6 separate regions of the Mus musculus genome follow, and all the other regions are reported to be linked to region 1. Evidence: microRNA targets listed by miRTarBase, many of them from high-throughput screens and not tested one by one. Region 1 holds a microRNA gene; each other region holds the end of a gene's coding sequence.
The links. Region 1 holds the annotated microRNA mmu-miR-1b-5p (UACAUACUUCUUUACAUUCCA, at 2,639-2,659, opposite strand). A microRNA usually pairs through its seed, bases 2 to 8, with sites in the 3' UTR of a target mRNA and lowers its output. Matches are read on the target gene's strand: a 7mer-m8 pairs with bases 2 to 8, a 7mer-A1 pairs with bases 2 to 7 and ends in A, and an 8mer does both.

Region 2: the mRNA of Prmt8 is a reported target of mmu-miR-1b-5p. Seed matches in the 3' UTR shown: 7mer-m8 at 1,578-1,584.
Region 3: the mRNA of Hoxd1 is a reported target of mmu-miR-1b-5p. Seed matches in the 3' UTR shown: 8mer at 1,583-1,590.
Region 4: miRTarBase lists Ccpg1 as a target of mmu-miR-1b-5p. The part of its 3' UTR that is shown has no 7-base or 8-base seed match.
Region 5: the mRNA of Tnrc6b is a reported target of mmu-miR-1b-5p. Seed matches in the 3' UTR shown: 7mer-A1 at 2,778-2,784 and 7mer-A1 at 3,990-3,996.
Region 6: miRTarBase lists Piwil2 as a target of mmu-miR-1b-5p. Seed matches in the 3' UTR shown: 7mer-A1 at 2,092-2,098.

Annotation. Positions count from the first base shown.
Region 1 is chr18:10,782,784-10,788,144 of GRCm38, reverse strand. It overlaps Mir1b (microRNA 1b), which reads right to left and starts at 2,699; the gene lies at 2,578-2,699. The region is part of intron 12 of Mib1 (mindbomb E3 ubiquitin protein ligase 1); the gene reads right to left. Mir133a-1hg (a long non-coding RNA gene) reads left to right here. Exons shown (of 3, transcript XR_877177.3): 1 at 1-715; 2 at 2,264-2,439. Mir1a-2 (microRNA 1a-2) reads left to right here and starts at 2,593; the gene lies at 2,593-2,664. It also overlaps Mir133a-1.
Region 2 is chr6:127,685,456-127,690,816 of GRCm38, reverse strand. Prmt8 (protein arginine N-methyltransferase 8) reads left to right here. Exons shown (of 10, transcript NM_201371.2): 9 at 86-207; 10 at 909-1,808. The coding sequence ends at 992. Among named protein-coding and RNA genes, the nearest start is that of Gm38900, 38 kb to the left of the region's middle.
Region 3 is chr2:74,763,437-74,768,797 of GRCm38, forward strand. It overlaps Hoxd1 (homeobox D1), which reads left to right. Exons shown (of 2, transcript NM_010467.2): 1 at 1-317; 2 at 619-1,706. The coding sequence ends at 953. Among named protein-coding and RNA genes, the nearest start is that of Hoxd1, 3.1 kb to the left of the region's middle.
Region 4 is chr9:73,015,071-73,020,070 of GRCm38, forward strand. It overlaps Ccpg1 (cell cycle progression 1), which reads left to right. Exons shown (of 9, transcript NM_001286544.1): 9 at 262-930. The coding sequence ends at 451. It overlaps Pigb (phosphatidylinositol glycan anchor biosynthesis, class B), which reads right to left. Exons shown (of 12, transcript NM_018889.3): 10 at 2,800-3,013; 11 at 2,321-2,501; 12 at 626-1,225. The coding sequence ends at 1,082. Among named protein-coding and RNA genes, the nearest start is that of Pigb, 22 kb to the right of the region's middle.
Region 5 is chr15:80,928,400-80,933,760 of GRCm38, forward strand. It overlaps Tnrc6b (trinucleotide repeat containing 6b), which reads left to right. Exons shown (of 25, transcript NM_144812.3): 25 at 690-5,361. The coding sequence ends at 1,077. Among named protein-coding and RNA genes, the nearest start is that of Mir5113, 9.0 kb to the right of the region's middle.
Region 6 is chr14:70,369,768-70,375,128 of GRCm38, reverse strand. It overlaps Piwil2 (piwi-like RNA-mediated gene silencing 2), which reads left to right. Exons shown (of 23, transcript NM_021308.2): 23 at 693-2,652. The coding sequence ends at 849. Among named protein-coding and RNA genes, the nearest start is that of Slc39a14, 21 kb to the right of the region's middle.

The DNA of each region.
Region 1 (5,361 bases):
TCTGCCTGAAGATTGTCTTGCTACCAGCCAGGGCAAATTTGTTGCCCCACCCCACCTCACCCCACCCCCGCCGCCCTTTTTCTCTTCAGGGCTTCTAAGTATAGTGACAGCCGCGTGAGGTTTTCCTAGTCTCAGCACAAGCTCGGGGAGAATCTGGGAAATGTAAGTGGAAACATGAGACACGGCTCTATTTAGCAGTACTTAAAAAAAAAATAGCAGGACAAATGGCAAAGCAGTGTTGGGACCACAGGAAGAACAATCAATAGGCAGAAAGCAAGATAGAATCCTCCTCAGCTTTTAGATCGACAATCGACAGCTGAGAGACTATTTTTTGCTATGGCTGACTAAATATGGTCAGGGAAGAGAGAGGCACAAGAGAGTCTGTTTGCCTGGGAGTGCATGTTTCAAATGCTTAGCTGCCTATAAAGCTCGAGCAGCCTAGGCTGTGGCCACTGAGTCGGGAAGAACATAGGTTGGCTTCTGTGGTGACTATGTGGGAGTCCTGACCTCGCTTGCAGACTTGACCTCTGGATATAACAAGGTAGCTTCACTCCAGATCTACCACTAACCCTGGAAACTCAAACTCCTGCTCCTCCAAAAGAATCCCAAAGCAAGAAAGATGCAGAATATTTCCTGAGGCACCAGAAGAACCCAGTATGGTCTGGTGGGCACAGGAAACTGGGTGAATGCTTGCAGCTAATTGGGAGAATGTGAGGTGTGTTTAGGGTTTTGCTTGCAGTGGTTTTTTGTTTGTTTGTTTGTTTTTTTAAATCTTAGATTACAAAATTAACATCCTCTGCAACTTTTCCCCTCTTGTAAATCATTTCATCTAACAAAAACCCTAGGTACATTCTCTTTGCCACTGTAGCAACCTTCCCATTACTTAACTTTCTCTACATATCGATATAATTGATATATTACATTCTAAATTATATGACTAATGTTGATTCAATTTGAGAGAGAGAGAGAGAGATTGCATGCCTGCATGCACATCTGTGTATATGTGTCTTTCTATGTCTATGAGAAGAGCAAGGGAAAAAGGTAAAATTACGTTGTTTTTGTATATTTAACTTGTCTTTCAAATGTATCTTACAAGGTAAGGTTCTGTGTTCACTTACACTGGGTGCTTACCTCACCCAGCTTATAAAACCAGTGCTGAAACAGCAGCAGTGTGAAAGAACGGTCATGATGTGGTGACTGCAATGTTACTGTAGGTCACTACATCTCTTCCCTGTAAGTGGGGCAGGACACTAAGCTCACAGGTAAATCAAGCACAAGAACCAACTTGGAAGGACGCTTCTGACTTTCTGCATGCTTATCTAATATTGACTGATATATATTCTCATTGTTAAATTAATTTATATCTGGGCATAGGCTAATTTCAAAGCTCAAATTAATAATTTAGTTTTAAAAATGCCATTGTTCAAACAGCATGCCAGATAACTTCAAAAATATACAATCTACCACTAACATTACATCACTACAGACAGGGTCTTTATTGTTTTCAATTAAACAGTTGTTTCAATTGTGTCTCGCTCCTCTAGTAAACCTGCATCCCTGCCTCCAGAGCACAATAGCTTCTAAAGGCTACTTCAAGATTTGGGTTATGAAATGTCTCCCCTTGCTTACTACTCAGGCCACAGACATCCGCATGCTGCTGCACGGTGCAGGTCTCAGCGGCACTGCTGACTGAGGCCCGCGTTGGCAGCTTACTAGCTTTCTTCATGGACTGCAGAAATCCTATTCCCCCACTTCCCTCCCAGCACCCCCTTTTCTATTCTTTACCAAATCTCAAAGCTTCTCAATGTCTCCTTTTGAATTAACCTTCAAAATGTCTTAGTGACTATAGGCCACTCCCAAATTATTTTTTTTTTCTTGTGCTAAATATTCAAGGTAAAACCCAGAGATTCACAGACTAAAGTGCTTCTCCTCTTTTATGGAGACTTTGGAAAAGTTATTTTAGTACTTTTCCATTATATTAAAAACCATTTTTAAAAAGTAATCTCATACAAACCAAGCACGTAACTATTTGAATTTGCATTCAATGCAAACAGAAACAGAACAAAAACTTGGCTAAATGATTTGTAATCTGTTACCTTGAAAATAAATTTCCATTTAAAAACATTAATTCACTCACACAATGAAATGATCCAATTTCAAAGCCTGTGCTAACTGTAACTTGTTTCTCCCAATAAGTTTTAAGTAGAAGTATCTGGTTTATAAAAACAATTTAGACTAAATTGATTATCATCTGTCTGTAAAGGATCTAGAAGCAAATTATAAAGAAGAGGGAGGCACGACGGAGAGAGCAGCAAGCGTGCTAACATTTCTGAATACACTTAAGACTCTGCTGACTGCATCTCTTGGAAAAGAAGCAGCAGGGCAAAGCATGGCAGTGCTTAAAAGAACCACAAGCAGAAGTGGCATTGATGGGATCAGGTAAATCTGTTGTAAAATTCAGTCTCTGATAAGCTAATCTCCGCACTGGATCCATTACTCTTCCAGAAAAGTAATCCAAATGTCCTACTAACAGCTGGGTGAGGTGGGCTGCTTCATGTTTTCACAGCTATCGGCCGGCGCAGGAGTGCCTACTCAGAGCACATACTTCTTTATGTACCCATATGAACATTCAGTGCTATGGAATGTAAAGAAGTATGTATTTTGGGTAGGTAATGTCCGCCAAGAAGAAGCTAAAGGAAACTTTCCAGGAGGATGACTTCCATACTCTGAATTCACCTGTAATACTAACAGCCCCATTCCAAAAGGACCAGCCATTCACTGGGAAAACTAACATCCCTTATACTGTACTGAAGAGATAAGTCCCGTGGAAGTGGATTTTAATTTTCACATTAAATCATACTACACTCTACACTGAATACTCACGTGATTAAAATGTGACTACTACAGAGGAAATAGTATTGCTAGCGCAAAACAGTGAGACACAGGATCAACCATTATCTGTCTTCACAATTGGATATTTTAGTGTCTCACATCTATCAAATCAGGACCAACAAATCTAATAAGAAAAATAAAGCAACAAAAAGCTGATTTTACTCATATAATAGCTATTCTTCACATGTGGCAAAATGTATAACCTATTAAAATCAGAGGATCTCGTAAGCCAAAAATTTTGGTTTCATTATTTTCTTTTCTGACAGCTATTGAAACTATAATGTTTAAAGACTATCTTTTAAGTAAAATTATACTGCACACATGAAAACTGGCTTTTGTCCTTTTCCAGCTTGTCAGTTCTTAACCCAATCTGTACTTTAAGTGCAGTTAATACTTACAGCATGAAAAAGAATGATAAAAATGGCAAAACCCTAGGCCACAACTAAAATGTAAACAGGATATATTGGCAACAAACTGTCAAAAACCTGAGTCTGTATTGTCCTTGCTTATATCAAATGACATTGTTTTTCTCACAATGAGTTATGAACAGCTACATTAGTTATTCCACAGGTCTGAAAGGTTTTCATAATTCTTTAAGAAACATTTTCACAACTAATAATTTGTTACAATCCTTAGAGAATATTAGCTATTCATTTATAAAATAAAACTGAAAACTGATTTTGTTGCTTCCAAGTTCAGCTTTTGTCTAGGAGTGTTTTGAATCACTTGAAATGTCACATCCAGCACTTAGATCAGCTGTCCCTTTTGAAGTGAGTACATGTTAAACTCTGGGCATCTGCTGACACTGCTATTACTCAAACACTTCAACTGTCACCCTGACAGGGATAACAGATGCTGACACTATCAGATGCTGGACTATTTTTTCCCATGGCCTCTCCTTGTCCTGATATGGCCAGTACACGAAACTCAATGATCCAAAAGCACACTTGAGCAACTGCACTTGCTGACTGGCTGCCAGGGACCTACTAAAATAGAACCAGGCAAGTGCTATCTTCAGCACTTAAGTTTAAGCAACCAAATACCTGTTTCACTATTTGGAAAAAATGATGCAAAGAATTAAAATTACATTAATTTCACCAGAAGCACAATAATTAACAACAGATGTAGAATAGAATATTAAACTATTTGCATACTGTCTGAGATTGTGTTGTCCTTCTACCATATTAGTTTAAAAAAATAAAATTATATGGTATTTCCCTCAGCATTCTAATTTTACAGACAAGCTATAATATATCAAACTTTTATTGTATGAGTATGTGTCAGAAGACATTCTCTTCAGGCAGGAAATCTCCAACAGAATCACATCAAATGCTTAAGTACTGGTTTTAAAGTATCACATGGTAGGTTTTAATATTCAAAATTCAGGGATTATAGCCAACTACCATACATCAATGTATCACTAACCTTATAATAAGAACAATCTATACTCAAAACAGCATAGAATTTAGTCAAGAAAATAGATTTTTAAATTTTATTTTATTTTTAATCTATTTTTTACACTCCACATTCCATTCCCCACCCCCACCCCCCTCTACCCTCCAACTGTTCCACATCCCACATCTCCTCCCCACCCCACCTCAATAAAATAGATTTTTAAGAAGGTTAATTTCTGAACTTAGGGTTAGTATGCCAACATAAACAAAAGCAAAGAATGACACTGAAGATATGTGTGATGTATTAATAAATTAAAGGACAGAGTTACTTTCTTAAGGCCATTCTTATCCTTCCACTCCGTATCAGAACTTGTTAAGTCCTCAGCTAAAATAGAAGCAGTACAAAAATATGTAGCTAACATGACCCTTTTTCAACATCTAGTTTAATTACTTAAAAACCTGGTTTGCAGGCATGGTGGCAGACTGCTTTAATTCCAGCACTTGGGAGGCAGAGGCAGGCAGATCTCTGTTTGAGGCTAGCCTGGTCTACAGAGTGAGTTCCAGGACAGCCAGGACTACACAGAGACCTGAATGAACAAACCAACATGGTGATAATTTAGAAGCATTACTCTGAAACACATGATGATTTATCTGTTCTTTCAAATGTTGGTTTTGAAAGGCTACTGTGTGCATTTAAGAACTAAGTAAAGATGCACTGATGTGAGCTGCAAGAACAGCAGTGTAGGACATATGCCTAAACACGTGAATTTTCTGTTTAACAACTGGTACACTAGTGTGGGAACCTCTAATACCTGTCATGCTATATTTCTACAAAAGAGCATTTAACCTGTTTGGATCCTACACCAGCAGCGGCAATGCTTTGCTAAAGCTGGTAAAATGGAACCAAATCGCCTCTTCAATGGATTTGGTCCCCTTCAACCAGCTGTAGCTATGCATTGATTACACATGGACAGCCAGTGTTTTATGAGCATGAATTACATCTCAACTTACTCAATTCATACAAACTGTAACTAAAAGCAAATACCTAGCAACTGTCAACCTTATTTGGAAGAAC
Region 2 (5,361 bases), not on the chromosome of region 1:
CTCTCTGTCTCTCTGTCTCTCTGTCTCTCTGTCTCTCTCTCTCTCTCTCTCTCTCTCTCTCTCCCTCTCTCTCATCCACCTCCAGCCCCTGATGCCCCCTACACCCACTGGAAGCAGACTGTCTTCTACTTAGAAGACTACCTCACTGTCCGGAGAGGGGAGGAAATCTACGGGACCATATCCATGAAGCCAAATGCCAAAAATGTGGTGAGTCTAGGAATCCCTGCATGGCCAGGGCCAAGGGAAACACAGAGTTGACTCTTAGGGAGCTCTCAGAAGTCACCCACCTAGTCTAATGCCGTGTGTACAAATGGACCAACTTCTAGGGGAGGCAGACAGCAGCTGTGTTTGCAGGTGACCAAGGCCTAATTGGGTGACTTCAACTTTGACTCTTCCAAACTCCAATGGCTAGAGGCTTCCTAGACTCCGACCTCAACCTTGAGGACAGCTCCTGGAAGCTCCCAGGAGAGCCTTTGAGAATGGATGTTGTATAAATGGGTTCTGCTTCATTTAGGGTGAGTTGAGCCAGGAAAAGCAAGTGTCTGGTTTATTTCTCCAGCTGACCTGGTGGGACCTTTCTGAGATGCCCCTGTTTCTGCACAGATGCTGAAGGTCTGCAGGGTGGTTGAGGGTAATATCAAGGAAGACCCACCGACCTCAGTTACTGCCTGGATAAAAGCCAGGACTGCTTTCATGTGAGGACAGGAAGGCTTAGGTTAGCTATCAGAGCCCTTTCTGTGAGGATAATGGGGTACCAGAATGGTTTCCTGAGGACTGGTCTTGGAGTCCCCCTAGCTAGAACTCCCGTGGCTACCTATCCCCATGGCACCATGAGAAGTTCTGTGCCTGGGAAGGGCTACAATCTCCTACCCAGACTCATTCTGTGACCCTTTGCTCTTTCCTCATAGCGAGACCTCGATTTCACAGTAGACTTGGATTTTAAGGGACAGCTGTGTGAAACATCTGTATCTAATGACTACAAAATGCGTTAGCATACGTGGGAAGCTGCGGAGAGCGAGCAAGAAGAGGCACTCACTTCAGTCTGCCACGCTGCCCCAAGGAATACTGTTAGGAGGACCACACCAACCAGAGCTTTCCACTCTGCCTTGAAGATTGGCGAACTTGCCCAGGGCTCTCCTGGGCCCCCGCCATCACAGGGAGCCTCCAGGTCCTCTGCTCTGCCCCTGGAGCCCTTCACAAAGGCTTTGTTGTTGCCTTCCGTGCTATGGCTGGGGCTCTGAGGATGGAAGCATACCCATGTGCCCCCATTGTTCTCCTAAACTGACTCTCTGGATCTTTCAAGTTTTGCATGCTGCAGACATCTAGGACAGGTTACTTCCGCTAGAACCTGGAGACATAGTGTCTTTGATAGCATAAGCCAGATTTTCTGTCTGTGTGGTGGTTTGTGTGAGAGTGTATGTGTGTGCGTGTGCCAGTGTGTGTGTGTACAGCATATATATTAATTTACTTGCCCACCAACATCTGTATATGCATGCATATACAACTAAGTGGGCATAGTTGGGTGTTCATTCTGAGGGTGTGTGTGTGTGTGTGTGTGTGTGTGTGTGTGTGTGGTGAGTATGTGTGCCTAGAATCTATATTACTCTCAGAGGAGGTTCTGTTGCTTTTGAATAGGAATTTGTTTCGTGATTAGTTTTCCCCATCCTGATCCCGTAACAGATGTTACACAGCTATGAAACATTCTGTGGACTAGCTCTGGTCTCGTTCTGACTAGACTGTGGCTCTGAATCCTGAGCACAGTACCACGGGCTCTGTCGGCGCTCAATAAACACACATGAGAAAGAAGCAATGAGTACCTCTTTCTTTCCCTCATGCTCTAGAGGGTAAGGGTGGGTGGAGGGGGACGGTGGGTAGTAAGAGGCCACAGTAGGACAGAAAATCATGGGGCATAGGTCCTACTAGTGTTTATATTTGTTCACTGAAGGAGCAGCTGATAATTTTCTTAGCCTGAACACACCTTTCTGTAGATACCTAGGTCCTGCCCTGAGGAGTCAAGTGGGTCCTGGAGCTGTGGAGTTGAGGGTGCTGGGAGGGGGGTTAGAAAGTGACCAATAGTGCTTTCATGTAGCCTGGAAGCCTCTTACAGTCTGAACATGTACCGAGAAGCTTCAGGCCTGCTCTGCATATGGAAACAGTATTTCCACAAGATAGAAAGATGTGCTTTGATAGACTTGGTAGAGTGCTTGGTCTTTGTTTCTAGGTTATTCTTTGGCCTCTGGAATGTTAGTCTCACCTTTGTAGTCTCTCATAGGAGAGACATTCCAAGTGTTGAGGAGCAAAGGGGCTCATTGAAAGATGGAGTCCTTAGTGGATTGGTGGCGCCCAGGAGATGCAGAGGGGAGCCTTGCTAGGCAGGGGAAAGGCATACCAGTGAAGAATTGCTTCAGGTGGGACTGTCTGAATAGAATGGGTTATATGAGGTGGTGACAGGGACCACATATCCCAGCATGGCCTGACTCTATGAGAGGCTCCCACAACGCTCTCCAGAACCTCAACCTCCAATCTCTTGAGTACCCTACTAGAGGGATTTTAACACTTTTCTCTGATAAAGGTTAGCCCAAAGGCTATCTATCCTAGAATGGAAGGAGCTGCATAAAGTCTCTGTCTCATAAAGTCTCTGCATGGAGAGTCCTCGATTAATAACAAGCAACCCAACGGTAGTGTCTCTTTCATTTCTAGAACTCTATTAGGAAATTTGTCAACTTCCTCAAAGCCTTGGAAGATACAAACAAAATCCTTATCACCCACTTTGTAGCTGAGGTATGTTGGGACCCAGAGAGAAACCACAGAGGTTGTGCAGAGCTGAATCAGGCTTGATCCCATTTCTGCATGCCCTTCCCTGCCCTGGGCTGATTCTTCAGAATCTCGACCTAAACAGTCACACTCTTGCTGTCTTTAGAAAAAAACATCAGTGGGAATTATATAATTTAATCTGTATATGCCAGACAAGAAATACAAAGAAACTTAAGAGAGGGACAAAACCTTGGGTTAGAAAAAGAAATTTAAGTGAAAAGGGACATTCTGGGGACAGAAGAGGGAAACCTGCAGGACTATCGACTGTTGTACTAAGCTCTGGGCCTCTTATCCTGCGGCCTCTGAGATAAGCCTGGAAGATAAGCTTCCAAGGACTCTGGCCCAGGATCAGGTGTGGCCATCAGCTCACACTCAGCAAAGACTCAAGACATCTTGTATTCTCTAATCAAAGGATTTCCCAAGAAATAATTGTTAGCTACGTAATGGGCCCGATTGGGGTACTTTGAACCTCTGAGCCCACAGGAACTTGATGAGACTCCCTCACCCTCTTAGTCTCTGGGAGATTTGATTCACTCTTACAAATCCCAAGAAATAAAGTCACTCAGCTTTCCTTCATGCTGGCTTGCCTGAGTCCCCTAGGTTACTCCCTCCCTGAGAGTGTACGCGAGTCTCAGTCCCTGGGCAGGACCAGTATGAGACACAGTTGCTTGGTTACATTTCTTACTGCTGTGACAAAGCACTGGGGGCAAAGGCAGCTTAGGGAAGGGTTCCTGCTGTATTAAAAACAAATACATTTATTTTTAATTTTTATTTTTAAATTTTACTTATTTATTAATTCTTTGGTTTTTTGAGACAGAGTTTCTCTGTGTAGCCCTGGCTGTCCTGGAACTCACTTTGTAGACCAGGCTGGCCTTGAACTCAGAAATCCGCTTGCCTCTGCCTCTCAAGTACTGGGATTAAAGGTGTGCGCCACCACGCCTGGCTCAATACATTTATTTTTAATGTGTGGTTCCTCATGTCAGGGGAGACATGGTGGCTGGGGTGTGAACAGTTCATTATGGCAGGGGACCGGGTGGCAGATATGAGGTGGCTGGGCACATTGCATCCACAGTCAAACACAGGGGGGAGGGGGTGAATGCTTGCCCTTCCCCTCTATTCAGCCCAGGACTCCAGCCCACGAGATGGTTCTACTGACACTGAGGGTGGCCCTCCTTGCCTCAGTTAAATCTTTCTGGAAATATCCTTAAAGACACAGATAGAGATATGCTCCCAGGGCTGATTCTAAATCCACTAGGATTGACAGTGAAGACTGACCATGAGACGTAGCTCATTTCACTCAGAGGGACTTCGGAAACATGCTCAGATCGCACCCATGATCCATAAAGCCCGTGCCCCAACCCATCATTTAGAGACCCGCGATGATTCTGGATGCCAGCAAAAAGCCATTCTTCTCAAAACATCTGCTAAGGCAACTTTATCAAACATCTACCAGCACCTCAGCCTCAGGACAGCCAGAGCAAACAGAGCAGAGAATCCTTCCTATATGCTGGTCCCAAACTCATACCTCTGCGATCCCCTTTTCTGATGGTAGTCATTAGTTTATAGACACCTCTCCTTGAGGAATGAGTCAAAGGACCCAGAAAAACCCCTGCAATGATGCTGCCTGGTGAAGTGGCTTCTAGAAAGTAATCACTTGTAAGAAGCCAACTCTAAGATGGCGCCGGGCGCCAGGTGTGCCGTTGTCATAAACAACATCAGCACAGGTGTAACACCCCCCCCACACCCCCCGAGTCTGGCGCCAACCCCTCCCGAGCAGGTGCATGCAAATTAGGTGCCGGCAGACTGACCAATCCCAGGGGGCCATGAAGCCTTTCCCTGTGCTGGAGAGTATATAAGCATACCTCCCTGGGTTCCCTGGGTCCCCGTAGCAGCATTGAGGCATTCCTGCAATAAAGGCGGTTGAGAAGAATTCGACTGTGTTGTGTCGTTCTTGCTGGTCGAGAGCAGACGCGACAACCACTTACTCATGAGACTCTAGAGCAGTGGTTCTCAATTTCCATAACGCTGTGACCCTTTAATACAGCTCTTCATATGACAGTGACCTCCCTGCAGCCATAAAAATTATTTTTGTTGCTACTTCATAACTGTAGTTCTGCTACTGTTTATTAGTTCTAATGCAAATATATGGTTTCCTGGTGGTCTTATAGGTGACCCCTGTGAAAGGGTCATTTGACCCCCAAAGGGGTCACAACCCTCAAGTTGAGAACCATTGCCTTATAGCTTCACCATTGGCAAAGGAGATGGCCAAGGATGGGATTAATATAAAGCATTTCAGGAGCTTCAAAGACAAAGGAGACTCCAGGCATCCCTCACTGTCCTGATAGAGATGATACACGTGCAACATTCTACTTCCATGACACAGCCTGGAAGCCAGTCCTGAGGTCTAGGCTCATGAGGTCTAGAAGGGCAAGAGGCATTACAGGCAGAGCTTCAGTCAGTGATAGCTGAGGTCCCAGGCCTGCTGCCTTGGCCTTGAGTTTGGGGGCAGTATTATGGAGTGAACCAGAGCCCTGAGCAGAAGTGGCC
Region 3 (5,361 bases), not on the chromosome of region 1:
GCCGGCGTTTGACTTCCCGGGCGCACTTGGGAGAGCGGCGGACGAGGGCGGGGCGCACGTCCACTATGCCACCTCGGCGGTCTTCTCCGGCGGGGGATCATTCCTGCTCAGCGGCCAGGTGGACTTCGCTGCCTTTGGCGAGCCTGGCCCCTTCCCCGCGTGTCTCAAGGAGCCCGCAGACGGCCACCCCGGGCCCTTTCAGACTGTGTCCCCGGCCCCTGGAGCCTGCCCCAAGCCGGCCTCTCCCACCTCCAGCCTCCCGGCCGCCCACAGCACTTTCGAGTGGATGAAAGTGAAGAGGAACGCCCCCAAGAAAAGTAAGGAGGTGGGCGCTGAGGGGAGGCACCTGGGGGTTCGGGGGGGGGGGGCGCCTCCTTCGTGAAGAGCCGGGAGCGTGTGGCCACCAACCCTGGAGAGAGATTCTACTCCTAAGCCCTGGTCAGAGCCCAGGGTCAGAAAATGCCCCAGGAGCTGAGAGGCCTCAGCAGAGCGCTTCTTCTGGTTCAGCTGTGTCCATCACTCAGGAGGGCTGCGCTGTGACTTTGATTCTAAGTCTTAGCTCCACTGGATAGTTTCAGCATCTCCTCCTCCTGCTCACACCTTGTCTTTATGTTGCAGGCAAACTGTCCGAATATGGAGCCACAAGCCCTCCCAGTGCCATCCGCACAAATTTCAGCACCAAGCAACTGACAGAGCTAGAGAAAGAGTTTCATTTCAATAAGTACCTAACTAGAGCCCGACGCATCGAGATAGCCAACTGTTTACAGCTGAATGACACCCAGGTCAAAATCTGGTTCCAGAACCGTAGGATGAAGCAGAAGAAGAGGGAACGAGAGGGGCTTCTGGCCACAGCTGCCTCTGTGGCCTCGATTAAGCTTCCCCGGTCAGAAACAAGTCCCATCAAATCTGGCCGGAATCTAGGAAGCCCTTCTCAGGCTCAAGAGCCTTCCTGAGGCCCACTCTTAAGGCTGAGGACCTTGGGTCTACAGAAGTCACAGACTGCTCCCCACCTTTGAATAGACTTGAGAGCTTAGTTTGGGCTGGAGGTGGGCATGGGTAGAAATTAATACGGATTTTACTTGGCAAAGGAATTGTCTAAATTGGCTTCTGAGTTCCAGAGGCTGTGTATAGAGATATATATTTGATATCTTTTATTCGCATATTATTTTTGCCTCATGGGGAGGAAAGGTGTCTTAGCTACCTGCCTAAACGCTGCTATGTGAGCCACTTAAAATTCTCGGGTGCAGAGTGGCAGGCCTTCTTAGTCTAGTGTGGTCAGAAACGTATCTCTCTGAAGTTGTTTCAGTTTTAATTTCCTGGACAGACTACATATATTCAGCTTCCTGAGATGATCAAAGCTAGCTAGGGTTTCCTCTATGTAGCTAAGCTGCTTCAATGATGATCTTCATATTGTGCTCCAGTTTGTTTATTTAAAGTGGCGCTCCTACCTCTTCGTGTGCCTGGGTGAAGAAACACAATCACTGTTTAGTTAGTAGCGGAACAAATCCACAGGGTAGGTAAGGATTAGAATCTGAATTATACCTTGGCATCAGTTACTCAAACTTGAAGTGTAAATATATACAGTATGTATATTTTTTAAAGATTTGCTTGCAGTGAACCTTATATATGACATTTAATGTCATGCATAGCATGTAAAGATTTTGACTTTTTTTTTTTTTTTTTGGTAATAAAAGTTACAGAATCTACTATTCTCTGCCTTTTCTTACATCCCTTTCATTTTGATTCCTTAAGCTGATCCAGTTTCAAAATGGGAGTTTATTTACATTGGGGACCTAAAAGTACCACCCCCACCATCACCGTCTCCTCTTCGTTGTTTTTTGTTTTTGTTTTGTTTTGTTTTGTTTTATAAGAGTTTCTCTTTGTAGCCCTAACTGTTCTGGAACTCACTCTGTAGACCAGGCTGGCCTTGAACTCTGAGATCTGCTTGTTTCTGTATCCTGAGTGCTGGAATTAAGAGTGTGCATGGACCACTACGCCCGGCAAAAGTAACGCTTCTTACAGGTTGTAAGCACAAAGCAAATAATCCATAATTATCTGGGCAAATCTGATGTACATAGCAGAGAGCTACTCTGCTAAATTCAAAACACTACGGAAATAGTTCTTTCCCCTGAGCTTTATGGTGGACATGCACATTAACTCAAGGGCTGGGAGCCCATTACAGGACTGCTGAAAATCCAGAGACACTTGGGGAGATCTCCTTTTTCTTTTTCTCCTGTTGTCACAAAAGGAAGTGGAAAGGTGACCTGAAGACTTTGTTTCTTTATCCTTTGTGTTCTCTGAGCAAAGCCGCTGCCCACCCAAAAGTTCCCATTGGCCGATTTCCTATCTAAAGGAGGCTGAGAGGAGCCAGAATTAAGAGCATCCTCTTCCTATAAGCCAGCATTCTTTTCCTATAAGCCAGATCAGGCTCTGGCTGAGAACACAGGGTACTTGTCTGGTGCTTGTTTGTTTGTTTGTTTGTTTGTTTGTTTTAGTTTTCTGAGGCAAGGTTGGGTAGCCCTGGCTGTCTTGCAACTCACTCTGTAGACCACGTTGGCCTTGAACTCACAGAAATGCTCCTGCCTCTGCCTCCCAAGTGCTTGAATTAAAGGTGTGAGCCAAAACCACTGGCTACTTGTCTGTTTTTAACAGTGGAATATTTTTAAATTAATTTCTTAGAAGAGGTACAACTTGAAATCTGGCCAGAGGGTAGATTACAAATAAACAAAACACAAAACCCTCTACTCTTATTTTTCACTTAGTCTCCCTTCTGCAGAAGGTGCCCACAGTCAGCAGGGCTCCTGGGCTACCTCGCAGTTACATAAACGGGGAAGAAAAGTGCAATAGAAACACATATAAGCAAGTGGGTACTTTATCAAGTTAGGATGTTTCTCCTACTTTCTCCCCACTTCCTTAAGACTTCTAGATAGCTCAACAGAAAGACTTAAAGGTGCAAATGAGTCCCACAGAAACTGTATGCTATTATGTTTAGGCTGTAGTACAAGCACGCCAACTCTGATAACTCAAAAGTCTAGACAACAGTGGACGATGACTTTTCTTGATACGCAGCAATGTGATAGGAATGTGAAATTGCACCTGAATTCTTGTCCTCATCTACCATCTCATGGAGTTGAAAGAATTCAAGTTCTAACAACCTCAGCTGTTGGAGGGGGGGGGGAGGAGATCACTTTATGAGTAGGTCTGTTGATATTATTCTCATGTTTTATTATTTGCCTCTCAATAACTTGATGCGGATCAGATCTTGCTTAAAACAGCTGCTTCCTCTCTGCATTCTACAGCTGTTTGAAAAGACTTGTTAGAAGTCCTACTTAATTGCTCCTCTGTAGTCACCTCTAAGAGTTTCCTGCTGTGGTCTTTGACATGACTAGTCTTTCCTTTTAGACAAGCATTGAACTACCTAAACAAAAACTACTACCACCCTGGATCATTTCTTTAATCTACCACCCGTTCTCTGAGAAAGTAAAGTGTGTTTCTCATGAAGCTGGCCCTAGCACTTAACAGCCCTGATGGATGTCTTCCTTGATGAAGGTGGCTATTTTGACATTCATATAATGCTGTTCTATGAATCAGGCCAATATTAGCTATTTTTTGACCAACCCCAGGGATCTTTAAAAGCTTTCTTAATGCAGATCACTATACAGCTATATTCAGTATTAGGAAGAGTCCTGGCTGGAGATGGGACGAACTAGGTGACCTTTGGAGATCTCTTCCAGTAAAGAAACACTATAGAGAATGCTACGACTCAATGGCTTTTGCGTATTTGATTTTCAGATTTCCATGTGGAAAAAGTTGTTGCTAGGGAAGCAAGTCTGTAGGATCACAGGGACACTGCGGGAGCTCAGAAAAGGTGGATTTTAGACATCGTCAACCACAGCTTATCATGTGATTCACTTAGGGAACACTCTCCTACATACTAGTGGGAGCTCTGTGCTATTTTACAGCAGCCATCTTTGTACTCTGACGCTGACATGCAAAGAGTAGCCACTAAAACAACCCCATTTATATCTCACAAGATTTCAAACTAAATATGCTAATTCACCCTCCAGCAATCTATTATAAGAATGAATACACAATGGACAGTTCTGGCTGTTGTATAATTAAGTATTCAATGTTCCTTTGTCTTCATATAATGACAGAGTGTCTACTTTTCTGGATTCAAGATAATTGGGAGGAAAAGGAAAGAATTCAATAACATAAAATTTCTCTAACTTGACTATTGGCAAATGAAGACCTTGATGATGGAAAAACCTTAAAGCAATGCCACCTAGATTGTGAAAAGATTAATCATGAGTGATTTATTCTGCCTCAAACCTATGTGTGACGGGACACAATACAAGAAGAGGTTATGTCTGATTATCATGTCATCATAGAAAGTGAAGCAGGCTCAGGCAAGTTACATCAGCCCCGAAGTTCTTAATTATTTCTTATGGCCAAAGAAGTGCTCTATACTTGCTGAATATTGAATTTGAAAACCTCAGGATCTAATCAGGTTCTGTGAGATGTTTAGTCTGACCACAGACCTCTCAACAAGAAAAATGCCCATTGTTAAAACTTTATTTGTGGTTTTAAAGTAAAACCATGGTGGACATATCTCACAAATAATGATAAATCTCTATCTAAATAGAAATCAAGATTTCATTGTTTTTTACCTCTATCCTGTTTCCAAGATATGAAAATGCAATAAATATGCAAAACAGCTCTATTGAACATCTCATTTGTAATTGCTTCTTAAATTATCCTTGTTGCTCAGAAATATAATTTCAACAGAAACTGTTAAATTAAATTCAATAATAAACTAAGAGGAAAGAGATCCTAAATATTCATATGAAAAAGACTATCTATCACTTAGCTTGTAGAACTTTCAACATTATCTCTTCTGCTTCACATCCTATTATTGATGTCATTGGGAAAGGAGGGCCAGAAAGTGGTCATTTGAACTTGCAACAGTTAACAAAACAAGCCACAGGCAATTGCAACGCATTTTTAGGGGACATCAAACTGTTGAGTACATCCTATCATCAGGAGCCTGCACCTATGCAGTTTGAAAGGGCTCCATTAAGAAGACGAATACAAAACTATGGCTGAGAGATAAGGCTTTCATGGGACCAGAAAGGATCCCGATGAATTCAGCTTCGGTTTTGTTGGGCTCATGGAAATGCTTGTCCACCTCTTCCTTGAACTGATTTCTTTATCTCATTGACCAGTCCTTGCTCCTGCTGACAGGCACTGTTGCTTTCTCCCAACTTTGAGGAACCAGAACCCTTGTTGATTTCTTTCAAATGCATCAGCTAGCAAATAAGGGGAGATGAGGGCTGGTTGGTACTCTATTGCACCCTCCAG
Region 4 (5,000 bases), not on the chromosome of region 1:
CCTCATTATTTTATGGTTACATTCCTGCTCCTCGTCACCTGTCAGGCCTCCCCTTCCGGCCAGTGCGGGAGTATTGATGTCTGCCCTTTTTCCTTCAGTGTTGAAATAATACCCCTTTTTCCTGGAATTAGAGTAGGATGTTATTTTCTGTTTTATCTTTTTGCAGTGTTCAGGTAGATAAGTGGGGAAAAACATTGTTCTTTTTACTTTTAGAAAACTGAACTCTAACATAGATTAAAAAAATGTGTTTACTACTTTCAGTCGACCTGATAAAAAGCAACGTATGGTAACTATTGAAAACGCCAGGCACCGAAAACAAGAGCAGAAGCACCTTCATCCACAGCCTTATGAAAGGGAAGGTAAATGGCAAAAATACGGTCGCGCTAACGGAAGACACACGGCAAATCTTGAGCTAGAACTGGGGCAGTTACCTTTCGATCCTAAGTACTGATTTGTGATTAAGTTAGGAAGTTAAGAGCTGTGGATGCTATCTACTTGGTTTGATGTTGAGATGAACTCCCCATGACTGTCTTTATATTATGCAAAAGCAAAGCTTACTAACTTGCATTTTCCTGTAGCTTAGGTTTGTTAAAAACAAAAACTTTTTTTCCTGCTGGGGGGGGGTGGGGGAAATGGTAGTTTTATTAAGGAAGCCAGGCATGAAATAGTCTGTGCATGAAACAGGGCTTGGTTTGAGGAGCTGAGCTCAGCTCACACAGGCATTTCGTGCCGTGTGGAGGTGTGCAGCAGGGCCTGAGGACTGTGCTGAGGCGGGACTCCGCGCTAACATCTCTACTCTCACGCTTTTGTCTCTCTGTGGGTTCAAGAGCCCGTTGGTTTGTGAAGAGCTGGCTGGCTTGTCTTGTGAACTCTCTTGCACACCTGAATGCTATGGAAGAAACAATAAACTGCACCGTGAGGAAAACTAAAGGTCTCTCTCAAGTCTGGCGCCGTATTTGTGTTCTCTGAGAATGCCTCAGGACAGTGTATGGGACAGCTGTCCCCAGTGGCTTCCTCTCATTTCACGGTCACCTACAGTTTCTCTCAGTTATGCCAACGTCTCTGCAGAAGTCCTTACAGTTCAGTTCCCTCCTGTGTTGACCCTGCCGGGTAACCTTCGCTCGTAGACGTGTATGTGACTTCCAGTTCGGCGCTCTGGCCAGTGAGTGTGGAAGAATGTAGCGGCCCTCTCGTAGTTCCCTGAGGTGAGGAAGGTATTGATCTCCTGCAAGCAAATAAAGACATGTTTGCCGAGTGCGACTTCAAGGAATTCTAGAGTTGCCAATTACGATTTTTCTTTTGTGACTTTTTCCTTTTCGAAGCAATTCTGAAAGGCGTGACTCTGGTAGCTAAACATATCTAGTAAGTTACAGAACAGCTGATTTTACTGGGGAAAGGATCAATTATGGGAATCATTATATTTTGTCAACTTTACTGGATTAAGAAACTATTAGACACAGGCAGTGGTGTCACACGCCTTAAATCCCAGCACTCAGGAGGCAGAGGCAGGCGGATCTCAGGGTTTGAGGCCAGCCATTAGGGTGGGCAGGGGACATGGCTCATTTGGTCAACTGGTTGCTGACCAAGCGTGAGGATCTGAGTTCAGACCCCTAGAACCCACATGAAGAGTTGGACGTGGGAGTTGGGTGGGATGGCACGTGTCTTTAGTCCTATATAGCGGTTGGGAGGCAGATGGAGTTCTGTGAGTTCCAGGGCTACATTGTGAGACCCTGTCTCAAAAATAGCTCAGACATGGTGGCACATAACTGTAGCCCTAACAGTGGGTCATTGGAGTGGGGCAGAGAGAGGGTTTGGGAGGCTGTGGCAGGCCACAGTTGTTATGCTCCAGGTTTAGTGAGAAAATGAGGTGGAAAGGGACAGGAGACGGCGTCGATAGACTTGAACCTCTGGCCCTTCCACGTGTGTACACAGAAACATGGTTACACGTACACAACGAGGAAACAATACAAGGCAGTAGTGAAGCACACTTCCTAAGTTTGTAAGTTTTTAAAGCCTTGAGGGAAGACCTGCCCTGAATGTGGGTGACACGTTCCTGTGGGCTGTGGTCCAGGCTGAATAAAGGGAAGAGCAGACCAACCCAGTATGATCCACCTGTTCCACGCTGTTCCACCCAGCACCATGCTGCCTCGGCCACGCTGGGCTGCTGTCCTGAATCTGAGCCGGGGTGAAGCCTGTCTCCTTAAGTCAGGTTTGTCAGGTGTTTGGCCGCAGCCATTAGAGAACCAATTCATACAGAGGGCGAGAGGGGTCGGTGAGGCAGATGGTTGTTAATCGAATGAAAACCTTTGAGTTGACATACCTTCTCCAGAACATTGAAGGTGACCAAGTGAGTGGGGAGTGACGCATTGCTGTGAAATTCTTGTTGTAACCATCTTAAGGGGTTTAAGTAGAACATATCTGCTTCATCAAGATACTGAGTTTTTCCAGTCAAGTCTGGGGGACACTGGAGAAACCGCATGGACAGTGGGCAGTGAACATGGCTGTGGAAGAAAGGGCCAAAGAGTTAGACACCCTGGGCTGGTGAGATGGCTCAGCACTTAAGAGCACTGACCATTTGTTCTTCCAGAGGTCCTGAGTTCAAATCCAGAAACCACATGGTGGCTCACAACCATCTGTAATGGGATCCGATGTCCTCTTCTGGTGTGTCTAAAGACAGCTACAGTGTACTCACATAAAATAAATAAGAGAGAGAGAGAGCGAGTGCAAGCAAGCACAAGCGTCCAAGTTTCCATGTCCTTTCAGGCTGACCTTGAGCCCAGGCAGAACTGCCTTCCTCACCTGTAGTAAGGCGTGGAGTGGCAGGGCATCATTATGAATACTGAGGCCGAAGCTGGGTCAGGACCTCGGGGGCAGACTTTCTGAATGTGATTCATGACATCCAGGGTGCCTCTCTGATGAACTAGGCCAGTGTAGAATGCCAGTGGCACATTTGACAAGAGCAGGAAGCTCAGGGCTGCCTTCCTCCATGTCTTCAGGTGGGCTAGTGAGTAACCTGCATGGAGATAGGTGGGTAAGTGGAACACGGGCAGCTTCCTGTTCCTGTTATCAGCAAATACACTTGTATGATTTTCCATGCAGACATAAGCAGTGGTACTGTGAGGCAAACTCAAACAGGCAGCGAGTCATCTCTGACCACTCGCCACCACTGCACTCTCAGGCAAAGTCTAGCCGCCTAGTCAGTCAAGGCACGGTGTGGGTAATGGCTGTCCAGTCTTAACGTGTAGACTTAAGTCTCTGAGGGCATCTGACATCCTAAGATTTCCAAGGGGATTCTGACGTTTGATTCCAGGACAATTGGAAGGGCATAGTTAAACAGCAATCCTGGACTAAGATTCATGATTTTCTTAACAGGAGCAATACTGCTTGTTCAGACATACCCAGTTAGATCCCACACCCAGTAGGTGTTTTTATTTGCATGTAGTATGGACGTGTAGTTCTCAGAAGCATCACTCCAAGTGCCTACTTTGCTCCTGTTGTCTGGTCCTAAGAAGTGTTGTGCTGAGATGTAGCTAAGTGCCAGGTTGCTTGCCTGGCTTCCATCTCAACACAAATACAAACCGCTCCCGCTCTATGTGAACTAGCTCTTTGTATGCTTGTGGGTTTTGTGGTTTTTGGAATGGGGTTTTACTATGTAGCCCAGGCTGGCCTCAGACTCTCAAATCCTGGGATTCCAGGTATGTGCTATCATGCTGATAAATGTACTAGCTACCTATGAGCCACATCTTAACCCTGCTCACTCACACTGACTGGACGGAGCACTGGAAGGGCTCTAGCTGTGTGGGCCAGACTAGCTGTACCTCAGCTCTGGAGCCTTCTCACTGCCCAGCTTTACCTTTTGCCACACAGTCTTCTCCAACGGTGACTTACCAGGGTGGTTCACATCGTGGAGAGAGTGGGAAGCCCTGAGCTTTCATTTAGTCATTCCATTTCCTGTGCTGCAGTGGCAAGAAATGCTAAACAACCACAACAACAAACCAAAACAAACCAAAAAACCTCACGGTCACTGGGCAGTGGTGGCACAGCAGAGGCAGGGCAGATTTCTGAGTTCAAGGGCAGCCTGGTCTACAGAGTGAGTTCCAGGACAGCCAGGGCTACACAGAGAAACCCTGACTCCGGGGGCTGGGGGGAAGCCAAGGAAAAGTCCCCATTGCCTTCTCTAGTATGTTCTGTCACTTAGAAATACATGTTAATTTTTACATTTTTAAACACTGCCGGGGAGGAAGGCTGTTAAGTCAGTTGTGGTGTTTACATGAGAAAAGCAAAGGGGTAGTTTAGCTGGAGAACCAGTGGGGAAGGGCAAGCTGCGCTGTATCTTAACCTCTGCACAGGCAGAGGCACCAGGAAGTTTAGGTTGCAGCTCTCGTAAGGAAACAAAGCCGTATTTTTCACTGACCACAACCTAAATACTAAATCCCCCAAGAAAGACCTTATAGTGGAATTGTGAACATCAGACATCAAAATTAACTGGAGACTATGTAGTGTGTGATCTCAGTGACCCCAGTTAGTAGGGAGTTGGAGGCAAGAGGGGCGCAAGTTTAAGGCTAGCCTGGGCAACTTACAGCAAGATCTTCTGGTTGAGCAGCTGCTTCCAGGGCAGAGGACTGGGAGGGGTGGCAGGGGTAAAGGTCTTGCCACACAGGCCTGAGTTGGAGCCTAGAGTTCATGCCTCCCAGGTCTCACTAGACTGCTCTAGAACTTTGGTTTCTTCAGTCTCTACCTCCCAAGTGCAAGGATTACAAGGATTACACCACACCTGCTGTTTTGGAGTTTTCAATTTTTTTTCCCCCTTGAGACAGGCTCTTGCCATGCATGTAACCCAGGCTGTCCTTAACCAGCAGTTCTCTGGCCTCGGCTGTTAGAGTGCTGGCGTGCAGACAGGTACCACTTTCCCTGGCCCGTTGGCTTTAGAACACAGAATCCGTCTTGAGGCGGTGCATAAGTAATGTTGATAGACACGTTGGAACTCAGAACAAATGCTC
Region 5 (5,361 bases), not on the chromosome of region 1:
TTTGCCTCATGTGGATTTAAGGAAGGAAGGGAAGGAGGGAGGGAGGGAGGGGAAGAAAGAAAGCTGACATTTTCTTCTTGCTTTTGTAAAACTTCAAATTTTTAAAAATTAGTTTAGAATCACAGCAAAATTGAGAGGATGGGATAGCAACTTCCTGAGTACTCCTTCAGTGGTTCCTCAACCCATTGTTATCACTCCTAGAGTATCCTTTGTTACAGTTTCCAAGCATCCCTTAGCACCTAATTCACCAGCGTTCACAGTTCACGTTAGGGTTCTGTTCACTTTCTGGGTCGGTGGTGGTGGTGGTGGTGGTGGTGGTGGTGGTGGTGGTGGTGGTGGTGGTGGGTGTGAACAAACAAGTGCTGATCTCCTCACCTCACATCATTCAGGGTTGTAAGGTTGCCCTAAATATCCTCCCCTGCCTCCCTCCCTCCTTCCCTCTGCCCCCGCCCCCCCCACCTCAGACACACGCACACACACAGGCTGGAGACATAGCTCAGGTGTTCTTGCTTGGCATGAATAAATCCCTACGTTCAGTCCCCAGTACTGCATAAACCAAGCATGATCGCCACACCTGTCGTCAGGCATGCAGACAACACAGTAGCAGAGGGCTGACAGCTGTACACCACCCCACCCCCACCCCCTTGCTGGCGATCCCTCGGATCACGTGACTCTTCTCCTTTCTGTAGGTGTGTGTTGGGAAACACTACCATCCTGGCCGAGTTTGCCACTGAGGATGAAGTCAGCCGCTTTCTGGCTCAAGCTCAGCCCCCTACGCCTGCAGCCACCCCGAGTGCACCTGCCACAGGGTGGCAGTCCCTGGAGACCAGCCAGAACCAAGCAGACCCCGTTGGACCTGCGCTGAACCTTTTCGGTGGGTCCACCGGGCTCGGGCAGTGGAGCAGCAGCGCTGGTGGCAGCAGTGGGGCCGATCTTGCCGGCACTTCCTTGTGGGGCCCCCCAAACTATTCTTCTAGCTTGTGGGGAGTCCCGACGGTGGAAGATCCCCATAGGATGGGCAGCCCTGCTCCTTTACTACCTGGTGACCTTCTGGGAGGAGGGTCGGATTCAATCTGAACTTAAACTTTCAACTCTGACCTCGTGACCTTTTTTGGAACAGCAGCAGCACTAACTTGACCTTTTCGTTTTTTTTTTCAACTTGCAATAAATACATTTTTAAAAGGAAAAAAGAAAACGGAGAGAGAAAAAAGGTGGGTCATTGACAGACTGTCTGAGCACATAGTTGCCTCCCTTAAAACTTCAGTTTTTTCGTTTGGAATATGAATCCAAAAAGAGAACATATCACTCTTGAAATACTTGAATCATGAACGCCAACCTAGAAAGACAATGTGAAGCAAGTACACATACCATTTAAATTTAAACACAAAAAAATTAAAAAAATTAGTTTCTAGTTTTTCACTTTTTTCATGTTATATGGAAGTTGTTGCTAAGAAACATATATACTGAAAAAATAGCTTTTTAACTTTGTTTGCACTGGGTGTGTTTCCGTCCTTAGGTCTACCATGTTTGGGTGGGAGGGAAATTCAAAAGAATTGTTGGGGGAGGGGGGAGGGAAGACTTGACGGAGCCTCACTTTAAAAACAAAAACAAAAAAACTTAAAAAAAAAAAAAAGGTAAAATTTTGTGATTGGCTGGTTGATAAATACCAGTGTGTTCTGGCACATGTAACTGCCCAGGCATGCTCGTTCTGGTATGTGTGTGCACGTGTGTTCATGTGCATTTGCGTGCATCCTCCTCTCTGTCTCTCTTCGTGTGCCTGCGTCCTGCCCTCCTCGTCCTGCCTCGCCCCGCCCCACCCCCACCCTGATTTCTCAGAAAGCTGCATTGCTGACAGTTCCAAAGGCTGGCTGGCCGGCCATCCGCTTTTCATTATTTCTGACTATGAGAACACAGGAGCACAGGGAGCCGCTGCAACTCAAGCCACTTCTTCTGGCTGCCTCGAGATGAAGGGTGCTTTTCAGTGACAGAGCAGCAGCCAGAATGCGGGGGGGGGGGGGGGGGGGGGGGGGCGGGGAGGTCCCCAGCTTCTGTCGACCCAGCTGCAGAGCAGAGCACTGCCAAGGCCAGAGGTGTGACAGAAGGCCCCTCCCTCCAAGAAGCTGCTGCTCACCTCTGTGCTGTGAAGTAAGCAGCTGCCTGCCCGGCAGCAGGAGTCTAAGGACTGAGCTGGCCAGTTGGCTACTTTGAGTGAGAACAGACGATTCAATAATTTTTAAATCGTGTGATGTTTTAAAAGCTGAAAAACAGTTCCCACTTTGCTGTGCTCGTCGGGTGTGAGAATTTTTTGAAAGGATTCAGGTAATGCAAATTCAATTACTTCTATCAGTTCTCATTATCATGTGAGGAAGACAGTAAGTTATGAGCAGCCTCCTGGAAGCATCGCAGCGCCTCCCTCTCTGCTCCCCTCTCTCTCTCTCTCGCTGAGCATTACCTGTGCCAGGCCGTGGCGTGTTACAGCACCAGGCCATCACTGACAGAAACGTTTACTTAACGAATGTTCTTAAACCAGTGTGTACTTCAAGTGTCTCCCTTTGTTTCTCTGTGTTGTTTCCTGTGTATGTGGTTTTGCTTAGGCAGAAATAACTTAGCAAAGTATTGCACCTTGTTTTGGTTTTGACCTCTTTTTTTTTTTTTTCTTTCCTTGTAATGTTGGTTTTTTTATTTTGGTATTTAAAGACTTTTTTAAAAAAACATCAATGTAGTAGTTCTCTGGGCCGAACAGGAGGCAATGTTTAATCCACAGTTATCACCAATACGTATGTACTATGTTGGAATCAAAATATATCAAATTTCTTATTGTGAAGAGAGTGAAAGTAAACCCGAAGGGGATCCTCACGTGCTAAATAGATGGCGGGCGGGCGGGCGGGCGGGCGGGCGGGCGGGCGTGATGTGTGCGGGGAACATGCTAGCACTTGTGTGATATCCCAGTCTGCATCGTACTGTCTGTTCAACATGAAGTGCCGACATTCTGTACCAGCAATTACCTGCCCATTCCAACCCCTGACGGGAGCAGACCTCTGCTGTCCTCTGTGACTTGCTGCTATTGAGGACAAGGGAGTTTTTCTTTCTTTAGCATCTTCAGTGAAGGATACAACAATGCCTAATGTATTTAACTTTCAGCTTGTGTCTTTGGTGTAGGTGGGTAGAGGGGTATGGATAGGAAAAAGCAAACAGACAAACAAAAAACCCAAAATTGCATGTAAGTGGCTTTGTAAGACAGTGAGTGGGAAATTCTGTAGTCGTCTTGGCTTACCTTGTTGGGTATAAACCTAGCTTCAGAGGAGGCTGACGGGGCACCATTCCCATGAGCACCTGTGCTTAACAATCTGGGCGCCCTTGGCAGGTGGGTAGGCAAATGAGCGTGCAGTTCTGGTTTGTTCCTGCAACACCTTGTTCTCATGGACTCTGCCTTCCTCCTGCTCTCTGGTTTCCATCACCACCACCCCCTCTCACCTCTGCCCTGCAAAATGTCTCCTTCCAGCCCCACTGACTCTCAGTGTTGGAGCAGAGCTCTGTCGCAGGTGATGACGTCCAGGTGAAGCGCCGCTTATATTCAGACATCTGCAGACTGAAGGCTGAACTTTAGTGTCCCCAGACTCCTGGGAGCCTGTGGGGACTGTCCACTGCCGCTCTTGGTTCATGGCCCTGCCTATCCTCTCCTCTGCCCCTGCTCCTCTTTCTGCCTGTTGGGTCCTTGACCTGCACTATGGCTTAGTTGAGTTCCTTACGATACTACGGTGAAAGCCGGGTGCTAGAGCCCCTCTTGTTTACAAGACATAAATGAGGGATTTGAAATATGTAAAAATAAGCATGAGAAGCTAAAATGTTCTTCCATCATAAGCTTAAAGGGAAAAAAACTAAAAACTTAAAAAAAAAAAAAAGACCAAAAAGTGCGTGTGTGTGTGTGTGTGTGTGTGTATATATATATATATGTGTGTGTATATATATATACATATATATATATATATGTATGTACATATATATATGCACATACACACATACATATAAATATATATTTTAGATGAAGACTAACTCTGGGAGCATTTAACAGTGTTTTTGTTTTTTATTTTTAACATTATTTTCCTGCTTTAAAATTTGCAAGCATTCTCAGGAATTCTAGGGTAGGAAGCCAGTTTTTTGAAGATGGTTTATTTAATTGTATCTTATCCTAGATAGACAGCTGTTTCTTTCCTGTTAGTAAACTTTTACAAGTTCCTGAAACTTCAAAAAGTTTAAACGATTTTTACTTATAAAAATGTAAAAAGAAAAGTCTCCAAACGTTATTATCATACAGGGGATCACACATTTTAAAATACATAGAAATATTTTTTAAAAATTACCAATTTAGCAGCAACAGGTAAATTCATTATCTTAACAACTGTGGGAGAAGGCTCAGCCATTCTGAGTGTTGTCACCGCCTTGCTTGACATTGTGCATGGCTTACTGGGGGGGTGACTGTTGAGCTCGTAGGAGTGACACCACATTGTTCCTTCTGTATGAGGCTGGACTGACGTCTCCCCGTCATGTTTCTGTTCTCCAGTGCAGCCCTTCTTCTCCCTGGCTCTCCAGCCCCATCAACAAAAGCAAGGAATAAAGAAAGAAACAGTAGCTTAAGCAAAAGGATCGGCTCTAAACTGTGGCAGTGCGGTTGCTGGATTGCTGAGAATCTCTGTAAAGAGTTAGGAAATATAGGTTAATAATTTTTTAAACGAATTTTAAATATGAGCATTACTAAAGGAAAATTACCTATGGACTGTTCTGTTGGTGAAAAGTGTGTGTTTCGCCTCCCATCTGTTACAGGAGGAGGAAACAGAAGAGTCTAATAAGGAACAAGTGGTTTTACTTTTCATTTTTTATTTAGCTCCCAGCTACTGTTTGCTTGTTTTAAATGCTGTTTTGAAGATCTGCTGCTTACTCCCCCCATCCTGGGAGGCAGAGATGTGGAGTGTTTCCTTTTGATTTGGGTGATGTTGAATTCTGCTTTTGTATTCCCTCCTGGGGCCAGAGGTCTTGGCCACAGCTTCTTTCAAACTTTAAGCTTCCCAGTGGGAAAGAAACTCCAGCTCCACAGGTAAAGTGAATGGGTGGGGTTGTTGCCTGCATTCTCTAAAACCGCTTTAGTGCCTTCGTACATACACCGACATCCTAAGCAGGGGATGCGTGTGCGTGTGCATGTGGTCCAGTCACTCCACGGTCCACGGTCGGTATGATGCTTGCCTGTAAAGGAAATTGGAGTGGTTCTGGACAGGCCCCAAAGGCAGTGGGCTAAATCAAAATAAACATTGAGGAAGTTAAATACATTGTTTTGTCTCGATAATGCGGGATGCCAAGTTCCTTCCT
Region 6 (5,361 bases), not on the chromosome of region 1:
AGAAGGATGGATAACCCCTGCAAATGACTATGGCATACTACCACAATTATGATGTACAGACCCAATAGACTGGTGAATGCCCTTTTATAGCCTTTTCCTTTGTGGCTTTTTCTGATTTTATTGTATTATACACACACGTATGGTGTTTTGCCTGCATGCATATATGTATACCACATGTGTGTTTGGTACTTGTGGAAGTCAGAAAAGGGTGTCAGATCCCCTGGAACTGGAGTTACAAATGCTTGTGAGCTGCCTTATGGTTGCTGGGAACCAAACTCGGTCCTCTGGATACCATCACACTTGTGCTGACTTACTTTACCCATCCTTTGGCTTATGTGAAAATATAAACAACTCCAGATGAAAAATAATGGTTTCTCTCTTGGACAGACCTAGTGGCTCACACCTACAGTTCCAGCACTTGAGAGGCTGAGGCAGGAAGATCACTGGCAACTCAAAGCCCACCTGGGCTAGTGGAGTTACTAGCCAGCATAAGCCAGATAGTTGAGAACCTGTACCCCAAACCAAACTAAAGAAAGAATTATAAAACTAACAATTCCTGAAAAACAACAGTAGGTTTCCCAGACTCCCCCAGTCTGTTGGTAGGAGTGCTGTGTTGTATCCCCAAGAGAGTGAAATCCTTCCCACCCCTAGGTGGAGGTAGAAGTGATAACACATTTTCTTCTTAACTTTAGGTTGACTTTCAAACTATGCCACATGTACTGGAATTGGCCTGGTACCATCCGAGTTCCAGCTCCTTGCAAGTATGCCCACAAGCTAGCTTTCCTGTCCGGACAGATTTTGCATCATGAGCCAGCCATCCAGCTGTGTGGGAACCTGTTCTTCCTGTAACTGGGAACTTGGACACCGGCTGCAAGGAGCAACTGGACTCAGCTCAGCTCCTCCTTACAGAATCAACAGAAATGGCAGTGGAATTTTATGTTTGCATTTTCTCTTTCTCCATCCTTGTAGAATTAGATTTCTGTTCTTCTTTTAACCCTGATATCATAGTAGGGTGTTGTGGTGCATGCCTTTTATCCCAGCACTTGGGAGACTGAAGCAGGAGTATCTTTAGTTCAAGGCCAGCCTAGACTACATGGTGAGTTCTAGGCTAGCCAAGATTACAGAGTGAGACCCTGTCTCAAAAAACAAAAACAAACCACTGTCCCCTCAAAGCCCACAACAAAACCAAAGCCTGGGGTCAAGGAAGCAAGTTTGTAGGTAGCCGCTGGCTGCCCGCTGCCTTCATGGAGTGTGTGCCGTCAGCGCTGCTTCTCCTCAGCCGAGCGTGGAGCTTCGGACAGGGCAGTGATGACATGTTCTTAGCATGTCAAATCCCCCTACCAAATAAGTCAAGCAAGGAAAAAATAGCCCCCAAGGCAGCCTGAGCATCAGTTCCTAGAGGTTATGCCTACAGAACCATCCTATTTCTGGTGGCAGAAGTGACATGAAGTCATTGCAGACATCTTAAAGGAGAGTTACTGTGCAGCTGTCTACATGTGTGAAAGACATGTAGAAAAACCAGCGTAGGGTACAGTCGGGCGTATGTGCCCACCTGACCCAGGGCTGTGAGTCTGACTTCCCGAGAGTCTGGCTAGAGCTGCTTTTCTGGTCCTTTTGGTTATTTGCAACCATCATCAGATTGCTTTCCTGCAGCCCGACTGATACACGCATGTGCGCACGCACACACTTTTGTTCTTTGTGACTAATCTTGAATAAATTCAATTAGAACACATGGAAAGGATTCAGCAGACCTAGGAACATTTGGGGTGGAGTGTAGTTTTTCTGCAAAAGTCTGTAAATGAGATTACGCAAGAGTCTCTTCCAGCTGTGGGCTGGTGTTGCTTGGAAAATTTCAAAATCCCAAAGTTTCAGGCTTCCCAAAGTTGGCTTGGAAAAATGTGATAGTCTCACCTGAGTCTAGACATGTAGGAAATTTTCCTAGGGCCTCTGGGCTTCAGTATTTGGGGGAAGCACTGGTTTTCTGTGTTATTTTTTTCCTTCTGTTTCAGAATCTTCAAGTTTCTTCAGGCTTCAGTGGGCCATCCCTTTACTGGGCTCTAAAAGCTAATTTTACTTAACCTTTTCAAATGTGTATGTATCTATTTATGTTTTGGTGTGGTGGATGGATGGTAGGGGACTGAGCAGAAATAGTCATTTTAAATAACAGTGTGCTAGGAGAGCCTCAGTGTGAAGTCCTGAGGAGCAGCGGGGGCTGTGGGAGTCAGTGTCAGCCCTCACTCAGACAGGCCAAGCCTGGGCTCGAAGACAACATTGTCCAGGGAAGCCTTTAGTTTGCTATAGCACCCAGAGGTTGGCGAGGAATAAGGGTTAGGGTCCTCAAATACACCCATGGCTTTTGGAGTCTATGACCAAGGCCAGGCTGAGACCTGAAATGTAAAAGCCATAGAATTAAACAGAACAGACTGAAAAACGAGTCTTAAGTTCCACTTTCTGGATTTCTCTGGAAGTCTTTTGAATTTGTCTGTAGAAGTTGCTGTTCCTAGCACTCCTTTTCTCTTTAGGTAGAACAGATACTTGACCATAATGCCAGAATGTACTTTCTCTGCCTTGGTTTTTCTATGCCTTGTTTTTCAGTTTCAGGGCCAAACAATTGGGCCCTGTGGTGTAAAATAAAAACAATGTATGTGTATAGTTGTGTCTGAGAGAATATTGTTTATTAAGTGGCTTTTCCTTCAAAGAGAAGCAAAAGTTAGAGTTATTCCTTTATTATTGTGCGTGTCAGGGGCAGCACCATTGGGAACAAAGTGATTTCACCCTGAGCAAACTGGGAGACCTACATAGCAATGCATTAAGTTTGTGAATGTGTTTGAATCATTTGGGGCTTTGGGTAAATAAGAACCCTCACCAGCTTACTAAGAGAATACTCTCCACTAGTATATTTTCATCAGGGTGCTAAAAAAATAAATATAATTACTTACTTATTTTATTGATTGATTGATTTTTCAAGGCAGGGTTTCTTTGTGTAGCCCTAGTTGTCCTGGAACTCACTATGTAGAATGTAGACCAGGCTGGCCTCAAACTCAGAGGTCCACCTACTTCTGCCTCCCAAGTGCTGGAATCAAAGCTGTATGCCAACACCACCTGGCTTGTTAGTTTTTCTTTCTATTTTTAAAATCAATTTATTTATTTTTATTTCATGTGCACTGGTGTTTTGCCTGCATGTATGCTTGAATGAAGGTGTCAGATTCTCTGAAACTGGAGTTACAGGCAGCTAGAAGCTGCCATGTGAGTACTAGAAATTGATCCTGGGTCCTCTGGAAGAGCAGCCAGTGTTCTTGACTGCTGAGACATCTCTCCCTTTGTCAGTCTTTCTTAACAGTTACTGTTAGCTCAAGAAAGAACCAGTAAGCTTTCGCCAGAAGTGACCTCTCTACCATTAAGAATTTTTTTTAAGTTACATTTATAATATGTAGGGAGGCAGGGAGATAGAGGTCAGGCCTCAAGGTCCAACACTTGGGAGGCAGAGTCAGGAGGATAAGAAGTTCTCGGTCACCTTTGACTATATATTGAGTTTGAGGCCAGGCTTCAGACATGAGACCCTATCTCAAAAAAAAAAAAAGCACACCAGTAAGATGGCTTGCTGGATGAAGGAACTATGCCCCTAGCCTGATGATATGAGTTCCAGGAACACACACACACACACAAACCCCCAAATAAATGTCCCTGTTAAGTACACTTTCTGGTGTGTCTGTAACCATTGGCCCAGTGACAGTAACCTGCCTCATTGTTTTTATCACTTCCAACCACATGCCTTTACAACCCTGCATTTCTTTACATTTGTTAAAGAAACTCTATGTTTTAGAGGTCTTGTTTTGTCCCCTTCCCCTTGGTTTTTTGAGACAAGGTTTTTGTGGTGGTTTGAATAGGAATGACCCCCGTAGACTCATGTGTCTGTATGCTTGGCCACAGGGAGTAGCACTATTAGGAGGTGTCCTTACTGAAGGAGGTGTGGCCTTGTGGGAAGAAGTGTGTCACTGTGGAGGTGGGCTTGGGTTCAGTTATGAGCACACACATGGTGACTCACTACAATCTGTAACTCTGGTTTCAAAAGATCTGCTGCCTGCTGATCAAGCTGTAGAACTCCCAGTTCTAACAGCACCATGTCTGCCTAGAGGCTGCCATGCTTCCCACCATGATGGCTAAAGCTCTGAAACTGTAAGCCAGCCCCAGTTAAATGTTTTCCTTTATAAGAGTGCCTTGGTCTTGGTGTCTCTTCATAACAATAAAATCCAAAGTAAAACAGTTTCTCTGTGTAGCTCTGGCTGTCCTGAAACTCACTCTGTAGAGTAGGCTGGCCTCAAAAGTCAGTCAGAGACCTGCCTGCCTCTGCTGCTTGAATGTTAGGATTAAAGGTCTAGGCCACCGCGCCCGCCCGGTTTTTCCTCCCTTCTTAAATGAGGAAGTTCTTGATCTCAATCCAGGAAGTACCTTACACTTGCTGTGTTGGCTTTACTCCAGCAGCATTTTGTTGAATGAAGTGAAAAAGAACAGTCTAGGGATGACTTGCTCTTTTATCAAAAAACATTTTTGAAATCCCAGGGTTGAAGCCTGGGATTCACAGAGACCTGGGCTTGAAAAGACCCTGTTTATCATTTTTGAAAATAAGCTTAGTTTTATCTGAGCTCTTTAGTAACTTTTTCTGCCATGGATTTGTTTTTTGGTTTTTGTTTTTGTTCTTTCTAAAATCAAGAGAGTATAAGAAAAGCCAAAGAACAGCCAGGCAGTGGTGGCATATGCCTTTAATCCCAGCACTTGGGAGGCAGAGGCAGGCAGATTTCTGAATTCGAGGCCAGCCTGGTCTACAGAGTGGGTTCCAGGACAGCCAGGGCTACATAGAGGGGGAAAAAAAGAGAGAAAGAAGAAGGAAGGAAGGAAGAAAAGAAAAGAAAGAAGAAAAGAAGGAAAGAGAAACAAAAGCCACAGAATTGAAGAAAATACTATTACCCAAAATACACATAGAATTGTCAAAAAGGAATAGTAGCCATTAATCTGAGCACTCTGGAAATAGAGGTAGACAGGCCTTGTGAATTTGAGGCTAACCTGGTCTACAAAGCTCAGTGGTTAAGAGTACCAATGGTCTCCTAGAAGACTTGGGTTCAATTCCTGCACACACATGGTAACTCACTACAATCTGTAACTCTAGTTTCAGAGGATCTGATGCCTTCTTCTGGCCTCCGTGGGTACTAAGCAAGCACATGGTATGCAGACATGGGCAAAACATCCATATACACACGAGACACACACACACACACACACACACACACACACACACTACAGTAACAATAAGAGGCTGGAAGCATAGTTCAATGATAAAGCCCTGTAGCATCTGTGGAGCTCTGA